2 linked regions of the Lepisosteus oculatus genome follow. Each later gene encodes a partner of the first gene's protein in a complex. Links are inferred from orthologs where the notes say so. Each region holds a gene or a part of one and is shown on either strand. Other genes may lie near its edges.

The links. Proteins that work in one complex are often made in the same cells at the same time.
Region 2: rpl11 (region 1) and rrs1 share a complex: the UniProt entries of both Homo sapiens proteins name them as parts of the hexameric 5S RNP precursor complex. The link is inferred for Lepisosteus oculatus from reciprocal best matches to the Homo sapiens genes RPL11 and RRS1.

Annotation. Positions count from the first base shown.
Region 1 is NC_090706.1:290,064-297,895, forward strand, and holds rpl11 (large ribosomal subunit protein uL5), read left to right. Parts: upstream 1-4,814; 5' UTR 4,815-4,880; coding exon 4,881-4,886; intron 4,887-5,564; coding exon 5,565-5,715; intron 5,716-5,799; coding exon 5,800-5,906; intron 5,907-6,020; coding exon 6,021-6,152; intron 6,153-6,244; coding exon 6,245-6,355; intron 6,356-7,206; coding exon 7,207-7,236; 3' UTR 7,237-7,296; downstream 7,297-7,832. Other genes in the region: cyclic GMP-AMP synthase, read left to right, coding at 1-147, 1,459-1,558, 2,249-2,756.
Region 2 is NC_090701.1:51,349,804-51,356,832, reverse strand, and holds rrs1 (ribosome biogenesis regulatory protein homolog), read right to left. Parts: upstream 3,087-7,029; 5' UTR 3,066-3,086; coding exon 1,965-3,065; 3' UTR 592-1,964; downstream 1-591. UniProt on the Homo sapiens protein: Involved in ribosomal large subunit assembly. May regulate the localization of the 5S RNP/5S ribonucleoprotein particle to the nucleolus.

The DNA of each region.
Region 1 (7,832 bases):
CGGCGCAGGGCTGGCCGGGGGCGGCGCGCGGAGGCCTGTGCGTCCAGGACTGGCTGGGCAAGAAGGCACGGCGCCACTTCATCAGCCAGGCCTTGTACTTCGTGCCCAAGCAGCCGCCAGGCCGCCAGCGGGGCGAGGAGGCCAAGGGTGAGTGTGGACACCCCTGTACCCCCTGCGCCCCAGCTCTCTCAGTGTGGACACCCCTGTACCCCCTGCGCCCCAAGTCTCTCAGTGTGGACACCCCTGTACCCCCTGCGCCCCAAGTCTCTCAGTGTGGACACCCCTGTACCTCCCTGGGCCCCAGCTCTCTCAGTGTGGACACCCCTGTTTCCCCTGCGCCCCAGCTCTCTCAGTGTGGACACCCCTGTATCTCCCTGCACCCCAGCTCTCTCAGTGTGGACACCCCTGTACCCCCCTGCGCCCCAGCTCTCTCAGTGTGGACACCCCTGTACCCCCTGCGCCCCAGCTCTCTCAGTGTGGACACCCCTGTACCCCCTGCGCCCCAAGTCTCTCAGTGTGGACACCCCTGTACCCCCTGTGCCCCAAGTCTCTCAGTGTGGACACCCCTGTACCCCCTGCGCCCCAAGTCTCTCAGTGTGGACACCCCTGTACCTCCCTGGGCCCCAGCTCTCTCAGTGTGGACACCCCTGCACCCCCCTGTGCTCCAGCTCTCTCAGTGTGTACACCCCTGTATCTCCCTGCACCCCAGCTCTCTCAGTGTGGACACCCCTGTACGCCCTACGCCCCAGCTCTCTCAGTGTGGACACCCCTGTACCCCCTGCGCCCCAAGTCTCTCAGTGTGGACACCCCTGCACCCCCCTGCACCCCAGCTCTCTCAGTGTGGACACCCCTGTACCCCCTGCGCCCCAGCTCTCTCAGTGTGGACACCCCTGTACCTCCCTGGGCCCCAGCTCTCTCAGTGTGGACACCCCTGTATCTCCCTGCGCCCCAGCTCTCTCAGTGTGGACACCCCTGTACCCCCTGCGCCCCAGCTCTCTCAGTGTGGACACCCCTGTACCCCCTGCGCCCCAGCTCTCTCAGTGTGGACACCCCTGTACCTCCCTGGGCCCCAGCTCTCTCAGTGTGGACACCCCTGTATCTCCCTGCGCCCCAGCTCTCTCAGTGTGGACACCCCTGTACCCCCTGCGCCCCAGCTCTCTCAGTGTGGACACCCCTGTACCCCCTGCGCCCCAGCTCTCTCAGTGTGGACACCCCTGTACCCCCTGCGCCCCAGCTCTCTCAGTGTGGACACCCCTGTACCCCCCTGCGCCCCAGCTCTCTCAGTGTGGACACCCCTCTACCCCCTGTGCCCCAAGTCACTCAGTGTGGACACCCCTGTATCTCCCTGCACCCCAGCTCTCTCAGTTTGGACACCCCTGTACCCCCCTGCACCCCAGCTCTGTCAGTGTGGACACCCCTGTCTCTTGGTGAATCTGAGTGGAGCCCTTTGTTTTCCAGAGTGCTGGAGAATCTCGTTCTCTCACGTCGAGAAGGAAATTTTCAAGAATCACGGCAGCAGCAAGACCTGCTGTGAGAGCTACGCCAAGAACTGCTGCCGGTGAGACCAGCACTGCACCGTACTGCACCCCCAAACCACACTCACACCCCCAAACCACACATGCACCCCAAACCCCACTCGCACCCCCAAACCCCACATGCACCCCCAAACCCACTCACACCCCCAAACCCCACATGCACCCCAAACCCCACACACACCTCTCAAACTCCACATGCACCCCCAAACCCCACTCGCACCCCCAATCCCCACTCACACTTCTCAGACTCCACTTACACCCCCAAACCCCACTCTAACCTCTCAGACCCCACTCAACCCTCTATCAGTCCAGAGGTCACAGTGTCTCTGCGTGTCTGTAGGGGTCAGTCCACAGGTCACGGTGTCTCTCTGTGTGTCTGTAGGGGTCACTCTGGAGGTCTCGGTCTCTCTGTGCGTCTGTAGGGGTCAGTCCAGAGGTCACGGTTTCTCTTTGTGTCTGTAGGGGTCAGTCCAGAGGTCACGGTGTCTCTCTGTGTGTCTGTAGGGGTCAGTCCAGAGGTCACGGTGTCTCTCTGTGTGTCTGTAGGGGTCAGTCCGGAGGTCACGGTGTCTCTCTGTGTCTGTAGGGGTCAGTCCAGAGGTCACGGTGTCACTCTGTGTGTCTGTAGGGGTCAGTCCGGAGGTCACGGTGTCTCTCTGTGTGTCTGTAGGGGTCAGTCCAGAGGTCACGGTGTCTCTCTCTGTGTCTCTCAGTAAGAAGGCTCTGCGCCTGTTGAAGTGTCTCATCGAGGGTCTGAAGCAGCGCCACCCTCGGGAGCTCGCTCAGCTCTGCTCCTACCACGGGAAGACAGTCTTCCTGCACACGCTGAGTCGCCATGGTGATGACGCCATCTGGGCACCGCGGCGGCTCCCCTCCTGCTTCCTGCTGCTGCTGGACAGCTTCATCGCCCACGTCCAGTGCGCCGAACTGCCCCACTTCTTCATCAGCGCCAGCAACATGTTCGCCCCGGCCGCCTTCCCCCGCCGCTCCCTGCTCTTCCTGCAGGGGGCGCTGGAGGAGCAGAGGCAGAGCGGGGTGCCACTGTTCCAGGTGTCCAGCCCGTCACGGCTCCTGCCCGCGGACCCCCCCGGGCCCAGCTCTGCTCCATCGTGCCCCCCGGTGTGCAGCTCCGGCCTGCACTTCCCCTCCCTCCCCTGGGGCTTGGGGGCCCTGGCTCTCCTGACCACCCTGCTGGTTGCAGCAGCTCTAGTGCTTCACTAGGGGGCAGTAGAGAGGGACTTGGTGTCGACTGTGCAGGGCAGGGACCACAACTTTCAGCTGGGGCCTGTGGGTTTCCTTTTGTGTAGTGAATACAGCCGTTAAGCCAACTAAGCACTGAAGTATTAAAAATTCTCAAACACACCAACGAACTCAAAACAGTGAACATTTTCAGCGGCAACAATGAAACACACCAGAGGACACGAGTGGAAACTTCAGGGAATTACATTTTAAACTGAGAGCTGGAGGGACCTCCTTACACAAGGAATTGTAGGAGTGTTGGGCAAGCTGTACAGTCATATTTCTGAAGCTGGTGTCCTTGCCTCTGTGAAGATGAGATTCTCAGTGCAATTAGCCAATCACTGCCACACAGGCCAGATGGGACAAAAGTCTTCCATTCGTCATCTTTCTTGTGTTCTTATGAGAGGTCAGGGTGAACAAGACACCAGAAGACACGGACGACCTGCAGGGACTGCAGAGCAGCAGGATCCACATCTGTGTGTCCTTCCTTCAGGTCAATTCCATTCAAGGTGCTTTATTGGCATGACCAATGAGTAAAATCAGTGTTGCCAAAGCAACACAGATACAATTAACATAAAAAATGACAGACATTTACAATATAGACACATCATAGGATATTTATATTTATATGAAGCATTACTGGGAGGCAGGCTGACTGTTCCTCAGGCTGTGACAGGAGGTCACATACTGGGCTGCCAGTTCAACTGAGGTTCCTCCTCCCTCTCCCAGTAGGATTGGGAGCTGTTGTGATCAACAAGGAATATTTCTTCTCTGTCCTCCTGTGTCTCAGTGCTTCTGTCCCTCTGTCTCTCTGCACCTTCTGCAGGACACTGAGAGAGAAGAACTGACCTGCCTGCTGATTGGACATAATGGGAAAATCAGACTGTGAACTGCTAACAAACACATTCATTAACACAATGTAGCAAAATTATGTATCTGATGTACTCAATTAACTGCATATGTATATTATATTTTTAGACAGTGATTTTAAAAATAGGAAAAAATAATTGAAATGTTTGAATAAAGAAAATCTTTGTTCCTGGGAACCAATGTGCATATTTGAATCTATCAATTAAAATGAATTTAAATTGATCAGCCAGCAGCTGACAGCTGGAACCCCACTGGAGCTCAGCGGGTGTGAGCCTGGTCAGTCTGGAGCCTGGATGGGAGACCTCCTGGGAAAAACTAAGACTGCTGCTGGAAGAGGTGTTAGTAGGACCAGCAGGGGGCACTCACCCTGCGGTCTGTGTAGGTCCTAATGCCCCAGTATTGTGATGGGGACACTAGACTGTAAAAATAGGCACCGTCCTTCGGATGAGAAGTAAAACTGAGTTTGTGACTTTCTGTGGTCATTAATAACCCCAGGGTGTTTCTCGATAAGTGCAGGGGTGTTACCCCAGTGTCCTGGCCATTTTTCCCATGAAGGCTCCACAGCCGAAACATTTCTTTTCTTCCCTTTTCAGCAGGAATAAACCTTCACTTCCTTTAAAGCCCACAGGTGCTGACACAGCTCCCCACCTGAACTATCATAAGTCAATGTAAGGGAACAAGTAAAGGTTTATTTCCTGCTGAAAAGAGAAGAAAGAAAACACAACGTTTCTGCCGTGGAGCCTTCTTCAGGTCTCAGGTCACACAGCTCACACCTGAACTATATACAGTCAATGTATGTATCTGTTTAATTTCACACAAGGGTGAACATTTATATGTTTTTACCTTTTCAGGAAATTATAAATGTCTTACAAATCACCACGACCCCATGTTAGATATCAGTCTTCTTCATGTATCCACAGTGTAAATTAGGAAAATTATTTATTCAACAAAACACACAGAAGTCTGCTATTACAGAAATTTTCAGAAAACAGCCTCATTATTCCATTATACGTTCTACAAAAGAAGACATCGTAAATACTGAGACACGAGTTTAGAAATAACGCCACTGCTATATAACTTTTCTTGCGCCAATTTGATATGAGCATTAGTCTCTAGTCTCTATTAAGACCGGAACCTGGGTTACATCACCAACACATTCCACGGAGCCAATCCAGCCGGGCACTCGATTATAAAAGGCAGCGCCGGAAGTCTGTCGCTCTCTTCTAGTGCTCCAACATGGCGGTGAGTAGTGTTTGTCAGCTGAAGATGGCGGTGTCTCTACTTTTGTCAAAATGTCAATCCGTTTCCATCGGTCGTTAAATTAAGCGTCAGCAGGCTGGTAGAGCCCGGGGCTTTCTTGCAGGCGACTGAACTGCGGGGGCCACTATGTTTGGTTTTTGTAGCTTGAAGCGAAACACATATAAACACACCTGGAGTGGCACAGACCCCTGTCCCCGTCTCCGGCCTGGGTCTCCCGCACCGCCGGCCAGTGCTTGTGGTTTCGACCGGCCCGGCTGAGGTCCTGGTGCCGGGAGAGCCGGAGGATTCCGGCTTCACCGGTGTTCTAATGAGACGGCTGTGCCTTTCCAGCCGGGCTCCGGGCGGCGGTCTGTGGGGCACGTCCCGGCGGAGTCCGGGTCCGGTGTGGAGCGGGCCGGGCCCGAGCTCTGGGTGTGGGTCGGTTCTGAGAAGAGCTGCTCGGAGAAGCCGGACTGCATCCCGGGGCCCGTGGGCTCACGGGCTCGGTCCGGCGGAGTGCCTGTATTGGCGCTCCCCCGAGAACACGGGTCATCCCGGTGTCAGGCTGCCCCACGCGTTGCGTGTTTCGAGTGGGTTCTGCTCCCCGAGGTGGTGGTGTCTGCGGCTCGGGGGGGTCGGCTCCTCTGTGTGGAAGTGACCCGTGGCCCGCTGTCCCCGCAGGACCAGGCTGAGAAGAAGGAGAACCCCATGAGGGAGCTGCGCATCCGCAAGCTGTGCCTCAACATCTGCGTGGGCGAGAGCGGCGATCGGCTGACCCGCGCGGCCAAGGTGCTGGAGCAGCTGACCGGACAGACGCCCGTCTTCTCCAAGGGTGAGTCAGTCGGCCGGCCCGGGGGGCGGCGGTGCGGGGGCCGCCCGGACGCGCTCTGACCCCCTCTCTCTCTCGCCCGTCCAGCCCGCTACACCGTGCGGTCCTTCGGCATCCGCAGGAACGAGAAGATCGCCGTCCACTGCACCGTGCGCGGCGCCAAGGCCGAGGAGATCCTGGAGAAGGGGCTCAAGGTGAGGAGTCCCGTTCGGCCTGCCGGCTGCAGGGCGGGGGGGTGAGGGTGTGACTCGTGTGCTCTCGAACCCGGGCCCGCGGAGGCTCACTGCCTGTCTGCCCGTCTCTTCCAGGTGCGGGAGTACGAGCTGCGGAAGAACAACTTCTCCGACACGGGGAACTTCGGCTTCGGGATCCAGGAGCACATCGACCTCGGGATCAAGTACGACCCCAGCATCGGCATCTACGGGCTGGACTTCTACGTGGTGAGGATCCACTGTCCGCCTGTCCGCACTGCAGCGCGGGCCTCGCCTCGCCGTGGGCCTCCCCCCAGTCACGCTCTCCCTCTGTCGCGCAGGTCCTGGGCCGGCCCGGCTTCAGCATCGCAGACAAGAAGCAGAAGAGGGGCCGGATCGGCGCCAAGCACCGGATCAGCAAGGAGGAGGCCATGCGTTGGTTCCAGCAGAAGGTAGGAGCCGGCGACCCGCTGGGCTCGGTCCTGCTGGGGACGGTGTGTGGGTCCGGTACAGCTCATGGAGGTTCTGGGAGGTGGGGAAGGTTTTCCGGCCCCGGAAGGCTGGGGAGATGAGAGTTGTCACTGTGGGACCTCCAGCACGACTCCGCTGGTACATCCTGCTCAGGCACAGGCTGAGCTCCGGGATCTCGGGTTCGAGTCTGGAGTCATGTGACCGGGAGTCCGGCTGTGAGGGTAGGGCCGGATTCGTGGGTCAGTGGCTGACCGCTGCCCTGTCCACAAGCAGCTGTGGGTCTGCCAGGCTTGGCCTGGGCGTCAGTGTAGCGAGTCTGAGGCCTGGGAGCGGCTTGGCGCTGTGGGTCCCAGTAAGCAGGGAGGTGGTCCTGGCCTAGTGGAGAGCTCCTGCCTCTCGGCTCGAGGGTCGGTGACGAGCCCAGCGTGTGGATCCAGGGCTCGGGGCCGGGGAGACTCAGCCACTGAGCTGGTTTAGAGAATACACCCAGGTTATCGACTGGCAGTACTGGATTTTAAGAGTTTAGATTTTGTAGTGAAATGTACAAAGGTGATTTAAAATGACTACTTGTACATTAATGCAGCCAAGACAAAAGACCTGGCACGAAATGGAGGAGACGCTAACAGTTGTGTGACTGTGCTGATTCAGACATGCCTGAGTAAGAGGATTCCTGAGGTTTTGGCGCTGGGGTTCACAGGTCTGACTCTAGTGGCTGAGCTCTCGCAAAGGAGTCTGATCTGCTTCAGGTGCGCCAGGCCTCCTGTTGTCTGCTACTGCCACTCTTGATGCACAATCCTCTAACTGCTGCTCCCTTTGTGTTTTTGTTTTGCAGTACGATGGCATCATCCTCCCTGGCAAATAAAGGACTGCTTTCTTGATTTCATTTGTAAAGATTTGCAAAATAAAGTTGTAAAAAGCTGAAGTTTGACTGTCTTGCCTGCAACCATGAGTGTTGAATTGAAATGGTGCTGTGGGCCAGGCTAGGTGTTGGGGAGGGGGTAGGGTAGAGTTTGTTCCAGCCAAACGCAGTGGTGCTTAATTAGTCAGGTTGTGAGGATTGAGCAGAAATGGATCCCCTGTGTCTCGTCTTGCAGTGTTGTTGCACAGGGCTGTCCATCCCAGCTGGACACAACAGTACTGCTCGGCCCCCGAGTCCTGCTGCAGCAGGAGACCCGCCGCTGCAGTTCCAGGACCCAGAGCTCGGGCCAGCTTCCTCGCGCCTGCGCTGGGTACCAACCTGCAGCAGGTTGTCCAGGCTCGGTGTGAGGGACCCTTGAACCCAAGAGAGCCCCCCCACATTATGAAATCGCCTGCTGGAGTTCACCCCAGGCCATGAGGGGTATTCCTGCCCTCAACCAGCAAGGGGCACTGTTGGGCAGGAAGTGTGCCTGTGTGGCAGGGGTGTGCACTGCGGTTCTCGCTGCCTGACCAGGCTGCAGCATCTTGCAAGACTGACCG
Region 2 (7,029 bases), on another chromosome or scaffold:
GGAACTTCACCCCTTGAGAATTTCAGGGGATTCTGATGTTTGCCACAAGTTCTTTCTAAATTAATCAACACATCGTTTTTAATTGATCACTTGTCAAGCCAGGTCGTGTAGAAAGTGATGGTTTAATGATTACTTATAAAAGCTGCTGGTTTTGAACTCCCCAGAACCAGCATTAGGAACCCTTAACCTAGGGAAACCCAAACTTAGCCGTTGTCATAGTAACTGTGGCATTCCTCTTACACATTTACTTATCTGTAGACCAATTTTAGTCTCCACCACAAGGTTAGGGCTAATAAGATTAATAACATGTTGATAAGATTACAAGGCCAAGTTCTAGAAGTACACCAAAACAGCATTAAAATGTATATTAACAGAGTTTTAATCTCTTATCTTCAAACTTCACTTTAGCTTAAATGTTTGTTTTCAAGAGGGGAATCCGATTCTCTCATACAATTTGCATAGATTTCAGATCTTAAATGACATAAGGTTACCACTGTAACAATGAACACTAGTGATTATTAAAACAGCACCACTCAAACATACAGTAGTAAGTAATTAAGATTATACAAAGAAAATGAACATTTCCACAGCAACTGTTTGGTGAACGTTTATTCATAAGCCACCAACTTCAAATACATTCTGTAATATTTACTCTTCAGACAGCAGCAAAATTAGGCTTATGCACACCTTAAATATTCAGATTCCCAAGTCCGACACTTAATTTTCTTAACTTTAGGCACATATACGAATGCTGGGCCTTCATATTACCACCCTTTAAGCCCTTCAAACAAACTAGAAAGACATTACAAAAACCATCTTTGAAGACATAAAAGAGTCCATTAACTGTAAAAATACTATCACACGCAGAATGTATTCAGAATACAAGTAGTACAGAACTTTGAATATTTGTTATTCCCTGTCAGAAGCTGAAAAAACAGTCCCCCATTGTATGTGTCATGATAGTATAGAGCCCATCTAGGGCCTGTAATCAAGTGAATTTCACCCAGTCAGGTCAGCAAGTTAGATCTAAAGTTAACCTAACCTAAAGTTAGACCAAGGCCAATCATAAAACCGACAAAATGACAGGCAAGACAGATTTCCACTGCACAGCAGTTACAGCTGTATCAGGTACCAGATATCACTAGCTTATTTTGACTGAATCTAGGTCAAGACTAAGGCTGCAATTATATCAACTCTTCTGTTTCATAAATACCTGATGTAAAAGAGAATGCAACTCGAATATCAATTAAAACATGCTGCTGTACAATAGAATCTGAACTACATTTAGGCTCATGATAAGGTCTTCTACATTTACACCCATTTATCATTTGTTAACAGATGGGCATTCTACATGAGGCAAATGAACAAAAAACAATTTGGACGAAGGGCTTTCAGAGCTCAAAGCGAAAACAACACACGATTCTACGGAGAGACTTAATATTCAGTCGAGAGAAATTTCACTCATCCAGCGAATTGTCACGCACAGTACCGTACACTGCAAAAGAAGCAAAGCAAGGCATCGTATCATGTGGAGGAACAATAGGGTTACTCCATGCTGAAAAGAGAAGAAAGGAAACAACGTTTCGGCGGGGCGGAGCATTCTTCGGGTGTAAGAGTTAAAGAGTCTTCCAGCCGAAACGTTGTTTCCTTTCGTCACTTCTCAGCAGGGAATAAACCTATTACTTGTTCCTTTGCAGCTGACGCAGCTACGCACCTGAACTACCATATCATGTGTCCTATTAACCATCGGATACAAAAATATTTAACCCAGTGCACAGTTCATTGATGTGCGTCCCATTAAACGTGAAACCAGTTCCACGGGGCCTCACGGTTATTTCTTTGGGGGGGAACAAGGCACCAAGGTTTGCAGAAAAAGTTCGTTCTGTACAGAACACCGAATGACGACTGCATCTAGACACGCTCCTCTTCCACGCCAGGCAAAACGCGAGAAGCCCGTGGCGCCTCTATCGCTTCCCTTGCTTCATGCGTGGCTTTCTGTTCTTGCCTCCGCCTCCAGCGCGTCCCTTTTTCCCCTTTCCTTTCCCAGAAAAGTTACCCTTGCGGCCCTTTTTCCCTGGCGTTTTCCTCCTCTTGGACCCCGACTCCACATCCTCTTCCCTCATCTGCTTGTTGACGGCTTTGGTGATGTCCAGCCTGGGTTTCTTGCCGTCCATGATCTTGAGCATGTCCAGCTGTTTCTGCTTCTCGCTGGAGAAGTCGCCGATGAGGGGCTGAAACTTCCTTTTCTTCCCCGTGTTTCTAGCCGGCTTCTCCTTGGGTAGACGGTCTTGAAACTTACCCACGGAGGCCGTGGATGTCTTGGCCACCTGCATGGCCATCTGCAGCTCCGCTTTCGACTGCTGGCTGGCGGGCGTCAGCCCAGCGCCGGGCACTTTGATCTTCTGCGCCCGGGCGATGTTCTTCAGCCGGTTCAGCTCGTTTTTGGCCACCCTCTCCTTCTTGGCCTTTACGCGCTTGGCGAACTGGTCCTCGTTGGGGTCGGCGGTCGCGGGAACCTCGATCAGCCACTCTTTGGTGTCGTCATTAGCTCTCTTGTAGCCCCACCGCCTTTTCCACTCCTTGTGTACGTCGTCCCACACCAGGTTGGTTTTCTTCTTCTTCTGGATCCCCTTCAGCTTGGCGAATTCCTCCCATTTGGTCGGCGCCCTGGGTTTAGGCACCGGTTTCTCTCTCGGCAGCCGAGTGGAAGGGTCGGGTAGCTTGGCCACTATCACCTCCTCGACCCTCTCTGTGGGCAACTTCCAGAGCTCATTGATGAGCAGCTGCGTGTTGCCCCGGGCGAGAGAGCGCAGGAACTCCTCTTTTTTCTGCTGCTTGAACTCTCGGACGTGGGGAGGATTTTTATCAGATGCAAGCAAGTTCCCCAGGTCGAACTCGAGTTCGAGTTCTTTGTGGACCGAGATGCTTTTGAGTTTTTCGGCTTCTTCTTTCTCGGCTCTGGCGAGCACGTCTTCCACACTGCAGGACGCCATGACGGTCTCGCTCTCAAAGGAAGCACGCTGGAGCCCGTGGGAAAGGTCAAGCGACTGTTTCCGGGTCTCCATGGATGTGGTTTTACGTGCAGGTTCCGCTATGTGGCGGTATTTAACCGTAAATACGAAATTAAAACAATATATATTCAGCCGTGGTGGAGAAATGCGCATTTCAGGCGTAGAACTGTATATCGAAATTTCACAAGAAAAAGTATAACCAAAATAAATTATAGTTGTTGTTAAACTAATTTTACATACCTCTCATCCTTCTATGCAAACCAGTTGTGAAAATGAATTTCTTTAATAATACTCAGTAATACATTAATAATCATTAAAGGACTGAGCCTTCATATTCTCATAGTATCTCACCCTTAGTCAAATTGTCCATGACTTCATAAATATTTACCTTCCACCCCCTGTAACTATACCGTAGCTAGGGCATAACCCGATACATAATTCTTTAGCCTGGCTAAATAAACCAATATAATTTTAGACCGAGCTGACTATGTCGAGTATTATATAGACTACGCCACACACGAGGTAATGTTTTGATACTGGAGTTACGTAATATAATTTTCTCACCTGACCCCGGGCTCTTTAAATTCATTTTTTAAACGCGGAGTTTTTTTTTTAAGTTCTACTGACAAACACAGAGAAACAACTTTTCTAACGGAGTATGGCTTCCTTTAAAAATTCTAATTAACGTCTTCAAAATCTTTATTTTCGAACCATACATACATATATATTATTTTAAGACATACTTAGGTTTATCTTTTTCCAAGAAATAAATGTTAGTCAAAACTATACGATATATAGTATATAGTATATCCTATGAATGATCTTTTAACAGCCTAGTTCACTCAAAATGAATAAACAAAATCGTAAATACGAAATTAGAGTAAATAACTCTTCATAGTTTCAAGCAACTAATTTCTGAAAGAAAAGTGGCGGTCAGTAACAAGACAAATGTGTTTTTCTTCAAGGGAAAAAAATCGTTTAGTTTGTCTGATTTAAACAGTGCTAATCCCAGTCTTCCTGCATTTCACACTGAAGAGTCATGAATGAAACACATATTGACTCGCTCCTGGTGAATGGAGCTGGAACCTGTCAGTGTGCCACAGATAAAACAAGTTGAAACACAACATTTACAGTTTGTAAGCTCCAAATACTTGCCAGTCCCTGTATCTGCTGCAGTCTCTCTCTCCAGGCCTGCCACTAGAGTAAACCTAACTTGGGGATGCAGAGATTAAATGTAATGTCAGTGTCAAAAAGAGGGGTCACTTTACAGTGTTGGCATACATGAACTGAAAGTCTGCACACCACATTGCACATTACTCTCTTAGAACACTGCCTCCCTGGGCACTCTGCATAAAGCCTTTGTACATTTGTCCCAAGGCTACATCGTTCATATGGCAGGTTTTTAAACCAAACCACTATAAAATCAGCAGGTTTCATAGGCACACATCAAAGTGATTACAGATCTTGCGGTCGATGAAAACCAAAACGTTCATCCTAGTTCTTTCAAACACTGTCCAACTGGGCCTAATGTATAAAGTCAGTATTGAACATTTTTTTTTTAAATTGGCTTTTATTCATTTTGTGGAAAGAGCACACTGTGCCTTTGTTTTAAGGTCCTTAAGAGGAGCACAAACATCCTGATCTGGAAATCGTTGTAGAGGAACTCTGGTGTGGTTCCACTTACTTGGAAAGGAAACATACTGTAATATAATACTGAGACAGTAATGTCTTGCTCATATTTCTAATCCAGTCCTATATATTATTTACCTTATTCAACAAACTGTACTTACATACTGTACTGTAAGTGTGTATGAAGTGTGCATTTTTGCAATTACTTGGTGAGTGAAAGATAAAGTGATCTTATTATTTTAGTTTCAACATATTTAGTTAATATTGTTTTTGACATTTCACATCCCAAGCTATGCAACCGTTTTCCATTCAGCTGATAAATTCGAAACTGCAGTTTTGAACGGTTTTTTTACTTTTGTGCAGGATTTCTCTTTTTACTGTGTAAGAAAGCAAACACTTGTTCTACAAAAGAAATATTGCAATAAAGAAGTTAGACAAAGGCATAAATAATATTATTGCTATTAAATTCTAACAACAATTTGTTTGGGAAGCTTTTAGAGATTATTTTGTGTTACAAACTGATAACCTAAAGACTGGCAGTGCTGTAAAAACTGTGAAACAAAACAACCCTACTTGAAAAAAGCAAACAATGTTGTGTACTGCATCCTGAATAAAGAGGTCATAAACCACAGGGGAAAGTGGAACAAACCAGCTTGCTTTAAAAGTAATACTTTTATTTGGGACTTTTCCTTTGTGCAGTCATACCTTTATATTGGATGCTCTGATCCACTTACTTTCCTCCATATCTTTTGCTGTATGAGTTTCCTCAACATGCAGAAAGCTTTAAACTGAGTCAAACATTTTCAACTCTCAATTCTACAATTTGTTAGAAGAAAAAAAAAACAAGATTGAGAAAGATGCTACCAGCAAAAGACTCAAGGGTGATGTTCTACTGCTGGAGCCCATCTCTTTCTTCAAAGAGTGCCAAGAAACAAGGATTTTTTGTTCCATGTGGCACTGGTCCTGTCATCATAAACCACTTGTCTCATGTGGCTCACCATCATAGCATCAGTAGTAGTGATTCAGAAAGCTTCTTATTGTGTGCTCTAGCTGAGCCACACTTCTCAATGAGTCCAAAATTACAGCAGGGGTAATTATTTCCATTTGGGAATGAGTACACAGGCTTTGAAGTATAGCCCCTTCACTGACAGTGGAGATGTCTTGGTAAGCAGCAGACAAAATCACTATGGGGTGAAAATACTATGATAGGTTTCCTTGGCTAAATTGGAGTCAGGCTCCAATAACTATAATTCTAACATCGATCTATATAGACAGCAATTCTACTGAGAGTGCGCTTTTAGCCTTTCATTCCCAAATCATTCAGGTTTCCAAGTATTTTCTTTCTTCATAATTTACAGTATATGCTAGATAAAAATTGTTATGCATAGGTGAACATATAAACTACAAGCCAGACCAGCAGGCAGTCATATATTACAAAAATAGATACTTTATTGTCCACTGCTGTGGAAGTTTGTCTTTGGCTTCTTTCACAGAAGTACAAAACACACAAGCAAAACACAAGAGTCACATAAAATCACAACAACAGTATGTGATACATAAATAGATGGATAAATAAATATTTAGAGGGGAGACTACATTTACATACCTTCCTTAAGTAGTTTTATTGCAGAGGGGACAAAGGACTTCTTATAAATGTTTTTATTTCAATTTGGTACCCTATACCGTCTTCCTGATGGGAAGATTAGGAATTGGGAATGGAGTGGATGTGTGGAGTCAGCTGTGATGTTCCTGGGCATTCTGAGAACTGTACTATGATATGAGTTGCAGAGCTGGGGCTGCTGTTTCCCAGTTATTTTTCCTGCCATTTTCACAATCCGGGACAGTTTAGGTTTCCATACCACACTGTCATGTTAAATCCCAGGATGCTCTCAACAAGGCTTTTATATGCCATCTCTAGGATATTATGAAATTAGAACATTAAAGTTCTTGAGTCTTTGAATTAAAAACATCTCTGATTTGCTTTTTAAAAAATGTTGTCTGTATTCTCGGTGTAACTATGCCTCTGATCAATATGCATTCCCATAGACTCCCCACAACCTCTACAGGCTGACCATTGAGTACTATTGTCTGCAAAGATTGCCCTCCATCAGTTTTAGCATTGAAAAGAAGCTCTTTAGTTTACAGAAAACATTCATCAATCCACTTTCAGTCCTGGTTAGGATCATGGCGTTACAAAAAACATAACAGCATGAAAACACAAGAACAAATCAGACTGAGACGATGCCACCAGTACCAGCAAAGCTCACTAGTGTTCTTTAAGACATTTGAGCATGTGTATATAAAGGCGTCATGCTATGGTCAGTGAGCGCACTACCTACAAATGTATTATACAGAAATCATCTTTTTCCTTTGAGTTGCTAAATGTAAA